Macaca fascicularis: one gene and its partners. Each later gene encodes a partner of the first gene's protein in a complex. Links are inferred from orthologs where the notes say so. Each region holds a gene or a part of one and is shown in the gene's direction. Other genes may lie near its edges.

What was found.
Region 2: POLA2 (region 1) and PRIM1 share a complex: the UniProt entries of both Homo sapiens proteins name them as parts of the alpha DNA polymerase complex. The link is inferred for Macaca fascicularis from reciprocal best matches to the Homo sapiens genes POLA2 and PRIM1.
Region 3: POLA2 (region 1) and PRIM2 share a complex: the UniProt entries of both Homo sapiens proteins name them as parts of the alpha DNA polymerase complex. The link is inferred for Macaca fascicularis from reciprocal best matches to the Homo sapiens genes POLA2 and PRIM2.
Region 4: the proteins of POLA2 (region 1) and POLA1 are in contact, whole or in part, in a cryo-EM structure (PDB 8G99), measured with the Xenopus laevis proteins. The link is inferred for Macaca fascicularis from reciprocal best matches to the Homo sapiens genes POLA2 and POLA1. Residues at the interface, in XP_018112289.1 of Xenopus laevis: Met280, Tyr281, Lys282, Phe283, Met284, Phe285, Gln286, Lys287, Leu288, Met289, Ile291, Arg292, Val295, Ser296, Ile299, Glu314, Thr316, Leu320, Pro321, Gln323, Glu324, Thr325, Val326, Gln331, Gly333, Cys334, Asp335, Ser336, Asn337, Gly338; in NP_001082055.1 of Xenopus laevis: Gln548, Lys551, His553, Gln554, Asn555, Phe642, Glu645, Val646, Gln649, Asn652, Leu673, Gly675, Arg676, Phe679, Lys1137, Asp1141, Pro1143, Asp1144, Ile1321, Gln1322, His1324, Asn1325, Lys1326, Leu1328, Leu1329, Arg1332, Ile1335, Lys1336, Tyr1338, Tyr1339.

The regions. Positions count from the first base shown.
Region 1 is NC_088388.1:9,091,528-9,095,095, reverse strand, and holds part of POLA2 (DNA polymerase alpha subunit B), read left to right. Parts: intron 1-790; coding exon 791-946; intron 947-1,782; coding exon 1,783-1,845; intron 1,846-2,908; coding exon 2,909-2,951; intron 2,952-3,568. UniProt on the Homo sapiens protein: Accessory subunit of the DNA polymerase alpha complex (also known as the alpha DNA polymerase-primase complex) which plays an essential role in the initiation of DNA synthesis.
Region 2 is NC_088385.1:63,540,109-63,543,474, reverse strand, and holds the end of PRIM1 (DNA primase small subunit), read left to right. Parts: intron 1-228; coding exon 229-327; intron 328-2,721; coding exon 2,722-2,741; 3' UTR 2,742-2,834; downstream 2,835-3,366. UniProt on the Homo sapiens protein: Catalytic subunit of the DNA primase complex and component of the DNA polymerase alpha complex (also known as the alpha DNA polymerase-primase complex - primosome/replisome) which play an essential role in the initiation of DNA synthesis.
Region 3 is NC_088378.1:114,411,225-114,414,792, reverse strand, and holds part of PRIM2 (DNA primase large subunit), read left to right. Parts: intron 1-1,413; coding exon 1,414-1,534; intron 1,535-3,568. UniProt on the Homo sapiens protein: Regulatory subunit of the DNA primase complex and component of the DNA polymerase alpha complex (also known as the alpha DNA polymerase-primase complex) which play an essential role in the initiation of DNA synthesis.
Region 4 is NC_088395.1:24,696,037-24,699,604, forward strand, and holds part of POLA1 (DNA polymerase alpha catalytic subunit), read left to right. Parts: intron 1-1,488; coding exon 1,489-1,618; intron 1,619-2,105; coding exon 2,106-2,225; intron 2,226-3,348; coding exon 3,349-3,448; intron 3,449-3,568. UniProt on the Homo sapiens protein: Catalytic subunit of the DNA polymerase alpha complex (also known as the alpha DNA polymerase-primase complex) which plays an essential role in the initiation of DNA synthesis.

The DNA.
Region 1 (3,568 bases):
TGCAGAACTGTGTCATAGAAGGAAGTGTTGGAGGACTTGGAAGGAAATAATTGAGGGAAGGCAGGGAAGCACAATCACTGGGAAAGATGAGACTTCCTCTCTTTTCTCCCAAGAGTGGGAACAGAACAGACGAAGCCATAGGGACAGAGATTTTAGCTCAATTAATAAAGAACTTCCTGTTAGGAGGTTGTATGGTATGTGGCTAAGGATATGGCTCTAGAGCCAAATTTCTGGTCTCAAACCCAAGCTTCACCCACAGTTTGACCTTGACTAAATTATCTAACTTCTCTGTTGCTTGTTTTCCTCATCTGTAAAATGGGTACAATAATATCCACCTGATGGTTGTTGCAAGGATTAAATGAGTTAATATATATAAAATGCCTAAGAATACATTTTAGAATAGTGCATGGTATTTAGTAAGCTCAAGAAATGTTATCTATTATTAAGTAGTTATAGCTGTCCAAAGATGCAGTGTGCTGCCCTGGGATGGTGAGGACCAGGTGGGGTGGGCATCCAGGGGCAAGTTCCCCTACACTAGAGATGCTCACACTTAGGCATCCTCCTCGGAGGGCTCAAGTGCTGGGTTGGTGGGTGGACAAGATGCCCTTTCAGAGTTCTTCCATCCTGAGAGTCAGTGATGATGCTGTAGTCACCTCAGGGTCAAAGCAATGCCCTGCCAAAAAATGTATTTGTTGTTTGCAGTTTGTTTTGCTATTCATCCTATTGACTTCAGATTTTGAGCTCCTGCTCCAAAGACTGTCGTTCTTATGCTGTGACCTTCCTTTGGTAGGAGCCTGTCACTCTGCTGGGCCAGATTGGCTGTGATAGCAACGGGAAACTGAACAACAAGTCAGTGATTCTCGAGGGAGACCGGGAACATTCCTCGGGTGCTCAAATCTCAGTGGATTTATCTGAGCTTAAGGAATATTCTCTGTTTCCCGGACAGGTGAGATTGGAGGAGTTCCACCAGGATGCAGGTGCACTCTTTACTCCTGAAGAGTACGTGCTGTGCCATGTGCAGCTGCTCCTTAGTTCCTGTCTCTGCTGCCATGGGGTGTGGGTGGAGCACATGCCCCAGAGCAGACACCACTGTTGGGATTTCCATTTCCCCCATGCTCTGACCGAGGCTCTGGGACCCAACTGCCCAGCCTCAAATCCTAACTCCCCACTCCATGAGGTGCATACCTGTGGGCAAGGTACTTAACCATCTAAACCACAGTATCTTCACTCACAACATGGAAATAATAATTCTTACCTCATAGAATTGTTGTGAAAATTAGATCACGTATGTAGAGCATAATTATTATTACTAATGCAACGCCCTTAATTTGTTTTCTGCAAAAATGCCCTAAGTTTATGATTACAGATTAAAAGTAGTTGGACAATGCTTTTTTTTTTTTTTTTTTTTTTTGAGATGGAGTCTCGCTCTGTGCCCCAGGCTGGAGTGCAGTGGCGCAATTTCGGCTCACTGAAAGCTCTGCCTCCCAGGTTCACGCCATTCTCCTGCCTCAGCCTCCTGAGTAGCTGGGACTACAGGCGCCCACCACTGCACCCGGCTAATTTTTTGTATTTTTAGTAGAGACGGGGTTTCACCGTGTTAGCCAGAATGGTCTCGATCTCCTGACCTTGTGATCCGCCCGCCTCGGCCTCCCAAAGTGCTGGGATTACAGGCATGAGCCACCGCGCCCGGCCTGGACAATGCTTTTAACTGCCTCAAAATAATGTATTCCAGACCTCGTTGATCTCCACTGCTTAGCAATCCTGTTTGTTTTTGTCTTTCAGGTTGTAATTATGGAAGGAATCAACACCACTGGTAGGAAACTTGTTGCCACCAAACTCTATGAGGTACACAGCGTACCCCCACTTGCCTCTTGGTTTGCTTCAGGCAAAGTGTGTCTGGAAGCTGTCTGTTCTAGAAACTGGTCCTTTTTAGGAGCCCATTTATTTGTTAGTCAGTTCTCCATCTGTAAGTGGAAATCTACCCCTGGGCCAGGGGTCAGCAAACTCTTTCTGTAAAGGGCCAGACAGTAATTCTTTTAGACTTTGTAGCTACATGGTCTCTGTCACAATGACTCAACTCTGCCTTTGTCTACAAAAGCAGCCACAGAGAACTCTTAAACAGATGACTGTGGCTGTGTTCCAATAAAACTTTATTTAAATAGTGGGCTAGAGCCAGATTTGGCCCAGAGGCCATAAGCTGACCTATCCCTGCTCTAGGCAACAATCCTCCAGAGATTTTCATAGAATGCCAGGAAAAGTAGCAAGACACCCTCCCATTCTTGCCTAGAAGTACACTGATACTTTAGGTACCTGTTTTGCTCCCACTTGTCGCTGGGTGTTTTATGACAATTGAGTAGTGACCTCCGATTACCTGGGTTTCTTCGCCCTCTGAGCAGTATAGAAAAATGGCAGGTCCTGGCCGGGTGCGGTAACTCACGCCTGTAATCCCAGCACTTTGGGAGGCCAAGGTGGGTGGATCACAAGGTCAGGAAATCGAGACCATCCTGGCTAACACAATGAAACCCCATCTCTACTAAAAATATAAAAAATTAGCCAGGCGTGGCGGCGTGTGCCTGTAGTCCCAGCTACTCGGGAGGCTGAGGCAGGAGAATGGCATGAACCCGGGAGGCAGAGCTTGCAGTGAGCCAAAATGGCACCACTGCACTCCAGCCTGGGTGACAGAGGGAGACTCCATCTCAAAAAAAAAGAAAAGGAAAGAAAGAAAAGAAAAATGGCAGGTCCCATCAGATCTAAGGAGCAAGACAGAGGCACATCCTTCCCCTGCCCTCGCTCCTCCTCACTGTCCTCCCATCACACCTACATCACCCCCCAACCCGGTGCCCTCCCCTTTCCTTACCAAGGTGATGCCTGGCGCAAGACCTTACTTGAGCTTTTCACTTGTTTTTAGGGTGTGCCACTTCCATTTTATCAGCCCACTGAAGAGGATGGAGGTGAGTTTCAGTTCAAATACTGTTTTTGCAAACAGTGAGGGTGGTAGACATGAGTCCAGGAGTGCAGTTTCCCGAGCCCAAGAAAGCTGCAGAAGCTGCTGAAGAGCAATGTGACCAAGCGGTGAGGGTACCACCATCAGTGAGTTCGTAGGTTTTTTGTCACAAGACCCCTGATCTGAGCCCAGTGAGCGTTGGTCGTGCTGTCACCTGAATTCTGCCTACATGAAGCATGTTGTGTTTTTTTTTTTTTTTTTTGAGACGGAGTCTCGCTCTGCCACCCAGGCTGGAGTGCAGTGGCCGGATCTCAGCTCACTGCAAGCTCCGCCTCCCGGGTTCACGCCATTCTCCTGCCTCAGCCTCCCGAGTAGCTGGGACTACAGGCACCCGCCACCTCGCCCGGCTAGTTTTTTGTAGTTTTTAGTAGAGACGGGGTTTCACAGTGTCAGCCAGGATGGTCTCGATCTCCTGACCTCGTGATCCGCCCGTCTCGGCCTCCCAAAGTGCTGGGATTACAGGCTTGAGCCACCGCGCCCGGCCGAAGCATGTTATTTAAAGACTAATGTCTAACAGGTATTTTTGAAGGTTGCCTTGGAAAGGAAAAAGATGTACAATTTCAA
Region 2 (3,366 bases), on another chromosome or scaffold:
TAGCGGGCGCCTGTAGTCCCAGCTACTCAGGAGGCTGAGGCAGGAGAATGGCATGAACTGGGGAGACGGAGCTTGCAGTGAGCCGAGATCGCGCCACTGCACTTCAACCTGGGGGACAGAGTGAGACTCCATCTCCAAAAAAAAAAAAAAAAAGAAAAGAAACTTAGTTGCATTTTCATGTTATTGCTGCCACTATGCTAATTATAATGTACATTCTTCATAATTTAGATTATAAGAAGACCAGTCTAGCACCTTATGTAAAAGTTTTTGAACATTTTCTTGAAAACCTGGATAAATCTCGAAAAGGAGAACTTCTTAAGAAGAGTGGTAAGACTCTATACCTTTCCCTTCTATCTAGTTAGATCTTAGTATTAGTAGAAAAGGGCAATTTTTGAGTTCTAGTATTTCTTTGCCCTCCTCCCAAAATTTACTGATTTATCTTACTATCCTTAATGTTTTGGAAATTGAGGTTCCTTAATTCAATTTAACACATAGTTATTAAACACATTCTAAGTATCAGGTCTACAAGGGAGACAAAGATGAATTAATATCATGCCCCCTTGCCCTTAAGAAGTACTAACTTGGCTGGGCACGGTGGCTCACGCCTGTAATCCCAGCACTTTGGGAGACCAAGGCAGTTGGATCACTTGAGGTCAGGAGTTTGAGACCAGCCTGGCCAACATGATGAAACCCTTTTCTACTAAAAATACAAAAAATTAGCTGGGCGTGGGGGTAGCCACCTGTAATCCCAGCTATTCAGGAGGTGGAGACATGAGAATCGCTTGAACCAGGGAGGCAGAGATTGCAATGAGCTGAAATCGCACCATTGCACTCCAGCATGGGCAACAGAGCGAGACTGCATCTCAAAAAAAAAAAGAAGTACTAACTTAGTACAAAACAAAAATGTACAAAATGCTAAGAAAGAGATTTTATCTGACGGACTCTGAGATTTCATATGAAAATAGTGGTATCTGAACTCCTTTCAGTGAGCTGCTGTAAGAATTCTAATCCCTAGCCGGGTGCAGTGGCTCACACCTGTAATCCCAGCACTTTGGGATGCTGAGGCAGGTGGATCGCCTGAGGTCAGGAGTTCAAAACCAGCCTGGCCAACATAGTAAAACCCCATCTCTACTAAAAATACAAAAAATTAGCTGGGTGTGGTGGCGGGCACCTATAATCCCAGCTACTAGGGAAGCTGAGGCAGGAGAATCGCTTGAACCCAGGAGGTGGAGGTTGCAGTGAGCGGAGATCATGCCATTGCACTCCAGCCTGGGCAACAAGAGCAAAACTCTGTCTCAAAAAAAAAAAAAAAATCCCTAGGCCGTACATGGCGGCTCACACCTATAATCCCAGCATTTTGGGAGACCGAAGCGGGCGGATCACTTGAAGTCAGGAATTCAAGACCAGCCTGGCCAACATGGTGAAACCCCGCCTCTACTAAAAATACAAAAATTAGCCAGGCGCGTTATTGCGTGCCTGTAATCCCAGCTACTTAGGAGGCTGAGGCAGGAGAATCGCTTGAAGCCGGGAGGTGGAGGTTGCAGTGAGCCAAGATCACACTATTGTACTCCAGCCTGGGTGACAGAGCAAGACTCCATCTCAAAAAAAAAAAAAAGATCTAATCCCTAATGCCAATATACTATACCATCAGGTATGAGAAGGATTTCCACAAGCAGAAATTTGATGAGATAAGGGTATGGAGGTGGAAAAAGGCCAAGGGTTGTTCATTCTTGAAGGAACAGCAAGAGCAAAGGAAAGCATCCAGTCACTCTGGAAGCCATCAAGTAGTACAGCTAATCTAGTAAACGGTGTGTCCAGGAGTGATGGGCTATAAATCCAAAGAAGCAAGCTGAATGGCCTTGAATTCCAAGCTTAGGTGTTTGGGCTTCGTTTTGGGCTTAATAGGAAGCTTTTAAAGGTTCTGAGGAAGGGAATGCCATGATTTGTAGTTTTTATCCAGACAGATAAATCTGGGCAAGGCAGGGACTAGAATAGAGCCCAAGAGGCCAACTGAGCTATTGCCACTAAAACATTAGCACTGAAGATCTCCAAAAGGTGCAAATACTGGAACCATCCTTGAGACTTGCTAATGATTTAGAAGTGAAGAGATGAAAGATGGAAGGGAAAATGTTATAGAAGCCAGGGAAAAGAAAAGTGCAAGATTATCAAGTGTCAGGTACAGTAGGAAACTAATAAAATCTTGCTGCATGTAATAGCTGGAAGGAAACGCAAAGAGGATAGCAGTGCCAAATGAAGAGTACTCTGAATGGGAGACATCTGAGTATATGTATAAACCAATAGGAAAAAAACCAGCAGATTGAATATTATTCAAGAGGATACTCTAGAAAACTGTGGCAATGTTATAGCAATACAATTATCTTGCCACTTCATTTTTTATTTCAGTATGTGATAGTTTAAGCAGTAGTGCCTAAGATAATGCTCTACTCAGTAGACACTTACATGTGTAATTATTGAATGAACGACTCTAAGCTTGGAAAGCCCGGTTGAAACTGCCATTGCAACTGGCCGTATTAAGTCCTTTGTATCCACACTATTCCGTATTAGCTCAGCCTATAATGTGGACTTCAGCAAATGTGTAAGCAAATCTTTGTGCACGATGTGAGTTAAATAGAAGCATTAGGCAAAAAAGAATGTAAAAATAAATGGGCTTTGTTTTGTTTTCCTTTGCTGTTCTTCCATATATTATCTATTCTATTTTAGATTTACAAAAAGATTTCTGAAGACAGAGCTCCTCAAACCAATGTGGATATCTTCTGCCTTCAACAACAGATCAAATACTTCAAAAGCCATTTAATAAATACAGCAGAACTATGTATGTGTCTTAAACCTCAAAGTACATTTTCCTTTACTTGAGAAATAATTTATGTTGAAAAGATTTCCTGGCCGGGCGCAGTGGCTCACACCTGTAATCCCAGCACTTTGGGAGGCTGAGGCAGGCGGATCACCTGAGGTCAGTAGTTCAAGACTAGCCTGGCCAACATGGCGAAACCCCCATCTCTACAAAAACCACAAAAATTAGTCGGGTGTGGTGGTGCATACAGTAATCCTAGCTACTCGGGAGGCCGAGGCAGGAGAATTGCTTGAACCCAGGAGGGAGAGGTTGCAGTGAGCCGAGATCGCAGCCAATGGGTGACAGGCGAGACTCCATCTCAAAAAAGAAACAAAACAAAAAAAAATAAGATTTCCTGAGACCACCAAAGGAGAGTGTCAAGGTTCCTGGAAGGAGAAATAAAAGGAGGCATAAGTGGATTGCAGATAATTTTGTAAAATTTAATATTATACAAGGATAATTCTAAGGCTTCTAATATAAATACCCAGTTCTACTATTTGCCATATATAGAGGTA
Region 3 (3,568 bases), on another chromosome or scaffold:
TATGAGAGAGACTCTTCATTTGGGATTTTAAATTGGAAAGGATTTTATTGGGAGGAAGGACTTTTGATACTTTTCCTGCAAAAAAAAGATAATATTTATAAGAAACAATTAATGAAACCCACACTTGAATTTGATACAGGTTTTTGGAATTTGAGCTCTATGGGCCAGTTAAATCTAAGATTTTTGTTTGGTAGTTGGTTTTTTTAAGTTAACAGTGCCACCCAGAGGTAGTAAAGTTAGTTGCTTTTTTTAAAACTGTTTTTCCCCACATATTAATTTTGGTCACATAATTTAGTTATGGCTGTCTTTGTTTTAATTAATAGGCTTATCAAGTGAGACTCTTGAATTGCTTACTATCCCAAGATAATAATTGGTAAATTACTTACCAGTTTTGGTTCTAGAGTTTTTCTTCTATAAAAAAGCATATGTAGTTTATGAAATTTATATAATAAATACATTGCTGACAATCTGTGAAAATCTCCTAAAAATGTGAAATCATATTTTGCATCCAGTAGGGTAATTATTTTATTATATAACAGTAACACCCCTTAGTATCTGCCTTATAAATGAACATTTTATTGCTTTTAAATATTGTGGTATACATGTGCATATTAAATTTTATGAAATTATAAATTGTAAAGCCATGAGCAAAGTGTCCTTTGCAAAGTTAATCTGATCAAAGTTGCCTTAAAAAATTTGGTGTCTTTTATTTGGCATTTATAAAGACACCTCAAGCCAAAGGAGTGCCCCATTTCCCCATTTCCTTTTCTTTTTTTTTCTCTTTTCTCTCTCTTTTTTTTTTTTTTTTGAGCTAGGGTCTCATGCCATTGCCTAGGCTGGAGTACAGTGGTGCCATCTCGGCTCACTGCAGCCTCAACCTCTGTGGGCTCAGGTGATCCTTCCACCTCAGCCTCCTGAGAAGCTGGGACTATAGGCACATGCCACCATGCCTGGCTAATTTTTTTGTAGATATGGGGTTTTACCAAGTTGCTCAGGCTGGTCTCAGACTTCTGGGCTCAGGTGATCTGCCCGCCTTGACCTCTCAAATTGCTAGGATTACAGGCATGAGCCACCATACCAGCCCCTATTTTCTAACATAAAATGAATATTTTGAAGTTACATTAAATGCATGAAGTATTTTATGTTATTTAAAAATAATGCAGCTGGGCTCGAAGCATTCTGTATTTAATCCTTTTAATTTTTAACACCCCCTATACCTTGTACCCAACACATCCCTAGAAGATTGTGATATGTGGTATTGATATTCTCCTTACCATGATAGAGGACTTGCATGTTTTTAACTGCTGTCCATTAGCATCTTGCTTATGTCTGAATATTGTTTTATAAACATTTCTTAGATTTAATAATCACTGGATTTTTAGTTTGTACTCATGCTTTCTGTCTTCATTTCAGTGAAGAACTTAGACGCTGGTTCATTCAACAAGAAATGGATCTCCTTCGATTTAGATTCAGCATTTTACCCAAGGATAAAATTCAGGATTTCTTAAAGGATAGCCAATTGCAGTTTGAGGCTGTAAGTATATTTTTGTAGTTATTTCTAATTGTTCTCACTGTTCATTTTTCCCTTCTGTCTTAAGTGCTGGTACTAATGTGTGGTGTATTCTCTTTACATTCTGCAAGTACCTGTCTGAAACAGTAGCTAATAGCTTTGGATAACAATATGTCTTTCCTTCTCTATGACTAGAAGAAAAGGGGCTCCTTAATAACACAGTCTCACATTTAGTTCCTCTGTTAAATATGTGCTTTATTAAAGCACAAGAAGGTTTAGTTTATAAAGGTTCACCTTTAACCAAAATTTTGTTGGCCAAAAAATTTCAAAATTAATAATGTGTTAAACTAGACAAGTGATGGTTATTTATTTATAGTTGTGAAATTTAGAGGAGGTAACACTTTATATAAAAGTCAGTTGTCAAGCGGGGCATGGTACCTCACACCTGTAATCCCAGCACTTTGGGAGTCTGCGGTGGGCAGATCACTTGAAGTCAAAAGTTCGAGACCATCCTGGCCAACATGGTGAAACCCCCACTCTACAAAAAATATAAAAGTTAGCCAGGTATGGTGCTGCGTGCCCGTAATCCCAGCTAGTCAGGAGGCTAAGGCATGAAAATTGCTTGAACCCGAGAGGTGGAGGCTGTGATGGGCTGAGATCATGCCACTGCACTCCAATCTGGGCAACAGAGCAAGACTCCATCTCAAAAAAAAAAAAAAAAAACAACAAAAACCCAAAAAACAAAAAGTCAGTTGTGAGTAAAATCTGTCTGAATAGTTTTGCAGATAAATCTGAATGATTTACGTATTGTAATTATATAAAAAAGAAGAGACCTTTGGGACTCATTTAACAGGGATAAGTATTGGAAATAGAATTTATATCTTTTTTTTTTTTTTTTTTTGAGATGGAGCCTCACTCTGTCATTCAGGTGGGAATGCAGTGGTGTGATCTCGGCTCACTGCAACCTCCACCTCCTAGGTTCAAGCGATTCTCCTGCCTCAGCCTCCTGAGTTGCTGGGACTACAGGTGTGTGCCACCATGTCCGGCTAATTTTTGTATTTTTAGAGACATGGTTTCACCATGTTGGCCAGGCTGGTCTCAAACCCCTGACCTCGGGTGATATGCCCGCCTCAGCCTCCCAAAGTGCTGGGATTACAGGTGTGAGCCTCTGTGCCTGGCCTAGAATTTATGTCTTTTAGGTAGATACATGCCACAATGGGAATGTAGAAAAATTCCGTTTTGGAAGTTTTAGAGCAGTCAGATGGTAGTAGGACTGGCTGAGACTCTGTTTTGTTGTTGGAATGCATGGCTTGAAGCCAAATAAAGTAAAAAAGTAGAAGTTGCAATAGGTGAAAGACATTGTTCTGTCTGACAAGTAGAAGACATATCCACTGTTCAAGGAACACTATGGAGTATATGAGTTAGGGAAAAGAGACTGTGAAGGGAAGTGAACAAACATTCTGTAGACGTTTAGTATTGAATATATGCTAGGGAGGCAGTTTCTATAGTTTCTTTCATTTGCTTCATGAGGTTTCTAAGTCACATCTACCTTTGCATAGACAGATGTCATGCATGGTACCATCTGAACCAAAACCATTGCATCTTCCATTTTGTTTTTAACTTTTATCCTTGGTGAAGTCCATTATTGCAATTATCAATTACAGTTAATTTATCCGTTCATATTAGAAATAGTTTATTTTTTGCTTCTGTTGAAATTACTGATTTTTAGTAGTTTATAGAGAGAAGTGTCCTTGAGAAGGTCTATTATTTATTCTAGAGCAGCTATCTCCAACCTTTTTGGCACCAGGGACTGGTTTTGTGGAAGACAATTTTTCCACGGACTGAGATAGCAGGGTGGGGAGGGATGTGGATAGTTTTGGGATGAACTGTTCCACCTCAGATCATCAGGCATTAGATTCTCATACGGAATGCACATCTTAGATCCCTCACATGTGCAGTTCATAGTAGGGTTCCCACTCCTATAAGAATCTAATGTCTCCACTAATCTGACAGGAAGTGGAGCTCAGGTGGTAATGCTCACTCACTGGTCACCTCCTG
Region 4 (3,568 bases), on another chromosome or scaffold:
AAAAACTGAGCAATCATTAAGTTAGAGGTATTGCTTGCTTATTTCTTCCTCCTACTCCTCTGACCATCTCTCATTCATTCCTGCTAGTTCTTCCTGAGTTCTTCCTTGGACTTCTCTTTTCTGACTTTGCTCCCTCTCTAGGTGATCTCATTGAGTCTTAGGAATTTAAATACCATGTGGATGCCTATGCCTCCCACCTGTGTATCTTCAGGTTAGACCTCCCTAAATTCCAGACTCAGTGTATCTATTTTACCTATTTTACTTGATATCTAATGTGAACTCCCAGCTTGTTCAAAACTGAGCTCTGATCGATCCTAGGTTCTTCCTGTAGTCTTTCCTTACTAAATTAATAAATGTGTTTTTCCATTATCACTGGAAACTTCCAGAGTCTTACTTAGCCCAAAATCTCTGAGGCATCTTTAATTCCTCTCTCTGATATCCCACACTAGATGCATCAGGTATCCTGTCAGTTCTATATTCTAAATATATCTAAGTCTGACCACTTCTTTTCAACTCCATTGGACCCATCCTGTCTAAGCTGCTATCCTCTTTCCCCTGGATTACTGGGTTAATATGCCTATCTCCTACTTTTGCCCTTTCCCCCTTGTGGTCGATTCTCAATCCAGAACCAGAGTTATCCTGCTAAAATCAAGTCATATGTGATACTCTGCTCAGAATCTTCCAGTGACTCTGTTTCATTCAGAGTAAAAACTAAAGTCCTTATTTTTACTTACAAGGTCCTTTACAATGTGTCTCTATGTTGTTAACTCTGTCATTATCTCCTACTGCTCTTTCCATCATTCTCTCTGATCTAGCCATATTGGCCTCTTTCCTAGCCCTGGAACTGTCAGATTTGCATGCAGCTCAGGGCTTTTAAGTGTGCTATCCTGTCTGCCTGGAATGCTCTTTCCATAAGTCTTGCTCCTTCACCTCTTCCAGATCTTTATTCTCAGTGAAATCTTCCACTATTTCCTAACAAAAATTTCAGTCTCTGCTTCTGATACTTAATATTCCCATTGCTTAACTTTTAACATTATATAACATACTGTATACTTAATTTCTTTGTCTTTTTTATACTCTGTCTCCCCCATGAGGACATAAGCTCCAGGAGGAAAGGAAATTTTGTTTGTTTTGGTCACAGCCAATGCCTGGCACATAGTAAGCACGCAATATATACTCACTGGATGGAATGAATGAAAGGATTTAGATAGTTTTCAGGCTTGTAATTATTGTATTACTTCAGTTTTTCCTTAAGGGATTTTGTGTGTGTGTGTGTGTCTGTGTTTTGGAGAAAAGCATTGGGATCAATGGTATGAATGAATTCCTGGTTACATACTGACCTTATTTTAAATTGTTTCTGAAGCCAAGGTGCTGTTGCTCTGAATTTACTTATACCCAAAATTCCTTGTAATATTTTGTGAAGTTCTGATTATAGGCATTGTTTCTTTTAATTACTTGATTCTGTTTCATTCTTACTTTTCTGTACAGTGAATCTTCTCAACTGTTATACCTGTTGGAACACACCTGGAAAGATGCCAAGTTCATTTTGCAGATCATGTGTGAGCTAAATGTTCTTCCATTAGCATTGCAGATCACTAACATCGCTGGGAACATTATGGTAAATTTAACTTAGAAAGGGGGAAAAAGCATTTCCTGTTGGATTCAGTATTTGCTTGGGGTAGTTGTTATATGATAATGAGTCTAGATGCATGCTTATAAAATGAGTAACTTAGATTCCGAAAGCTGTATTTCTTTTGTAAAAGGAAGAACTGGTTGGGAGAAGGGGAGGAATGCCAGGTGCAGCGTGTTGAAATTTGGGCGAACATACGGATCATCTCTCTAACATCTGGATGTGTCTGTTTAGTGGAATGGTCCATTTGGGAGTAAATAAATAGCCAAGTTGTCAATATTTTAAGCTGTCTTTGTCTCCTTTAACTATAATGCTTAAAGAAAACGTTAGGAATAATTTAGTACCTTTTTTAAAAAACAGCCCGTTATTAGGAATAGTTTTAAAGGAGGTGCTGTGACTAAACTTACTGACTCAAAGTTGCTTTTGTTAGTTGTGGTTTTGAGCTCAAATTTAAAAAATAAATTCCATTTAATAGTCCAGGACGCTGATGGGTGGACGATCCGAGCGTAACGAGTTCTTGTTGCTTCATGCATTTTACGAAAACAACTATATTGTGCCTGACAAGCAGATTTTCAGAAAGCCTCAGCAAAAACTGGTGGGTCCAAAACTGTGTAGTATTTTGTTTTCTCTTACCCCCTCCCTTTTTAATACCTATTTACCCCCCCCCTTTTTTTAATACTTAGATAGCCTTTTTTTCTGTGATAACATCTGCTTTCAAAATAGCTAATCCCTTGTGTACTGTAGAAACCATGTCAAGTTTATTCCCTTGTTTTTGTGTGGTCATTTCCTTTTCCACTTTGTAAAAGGAAAATGCACTTTGTGCAGGCAAAATTATTTGTGAAATATGAAATTCTTTGAGGGAAGCATTAGACCTCTCTGATGGGTGACCATACACGGAATGTGTTCTGGCACCTTAGCCCTATCCAAAGATAAATGCCAGTTAAACTTTTTATTTTCTTAAACCCTATGAGCCTTTATTTTTGTGTTGCATTTTTCTGTACTAGTATGACCAAGGTCACCCACAGTCAGGTTTCTGAAGTAGCCTCCATCACTTTGGAACTAAAACTTAGTTTAGCTACTGTTTTATTAGCACTGATATTAATTAATTCAGAAATGGGAATTGAATGTTAAAATTTGATTCAGGTTCTCATATTTGCTTGTTTTTTAGTGTACATTATCAAAATTGGTATAGGGAATATTCATTTAGAGGACTTTAACTTCTGCTGAGTTATTGAATGTTGGCCAGTAATAAACTACTTAGGAATGGATTTTCAGTATATGGATGTACTTATTTTATGGTGTCCATATTAATAATAGGGATAATGATAATGTCTACATGAAGCATTTTATGTTTTTACATCATGAATATTAGAGTAGTGATTTTAAGAGGGCTGTTTTATAATCTCAAATTTTGTATAATATGAAAAGTGGTATTTTTCGATATTCATTGATTTAAAAATATGAAATTCTGTAAATTCAGAAACATAAAGATAAAATTTTTGTATTTGTTAACTCAGGATGTAGTATTTGTTTAAGAAATTACTATGCTTGGAATTCATTTGGATTCATGAACATATTACAATAACTGTCTTTCCCAACAGTTAGGACCAGTAACTGAAATGTTTGTTAGAACTAAGTCCTGCAATTGGAAAAGAGAGAATCATCAAAATTTTAAATTAGTTAATTAGTGGTGAAGCTATCTTTCCATTTGATATTAGGGAGATGAAGATGAAGAAATTGATGGAGATACCAATAAATATAAGAAAGGACGTAAGAAAGCAGCTTATGCTGGAGGCTTGGTTTTGGACCCCAAAGTTGGTAAGGCTGGGCAGTGAATTGGTTTTCTCCCAATATTAAGGAGTTTCTTAATGTGGATCTAGGCTTGAGAAACTAGAAGACCTGAATTATATCTTACAGGTCAGCAAATAGGTCTCATGA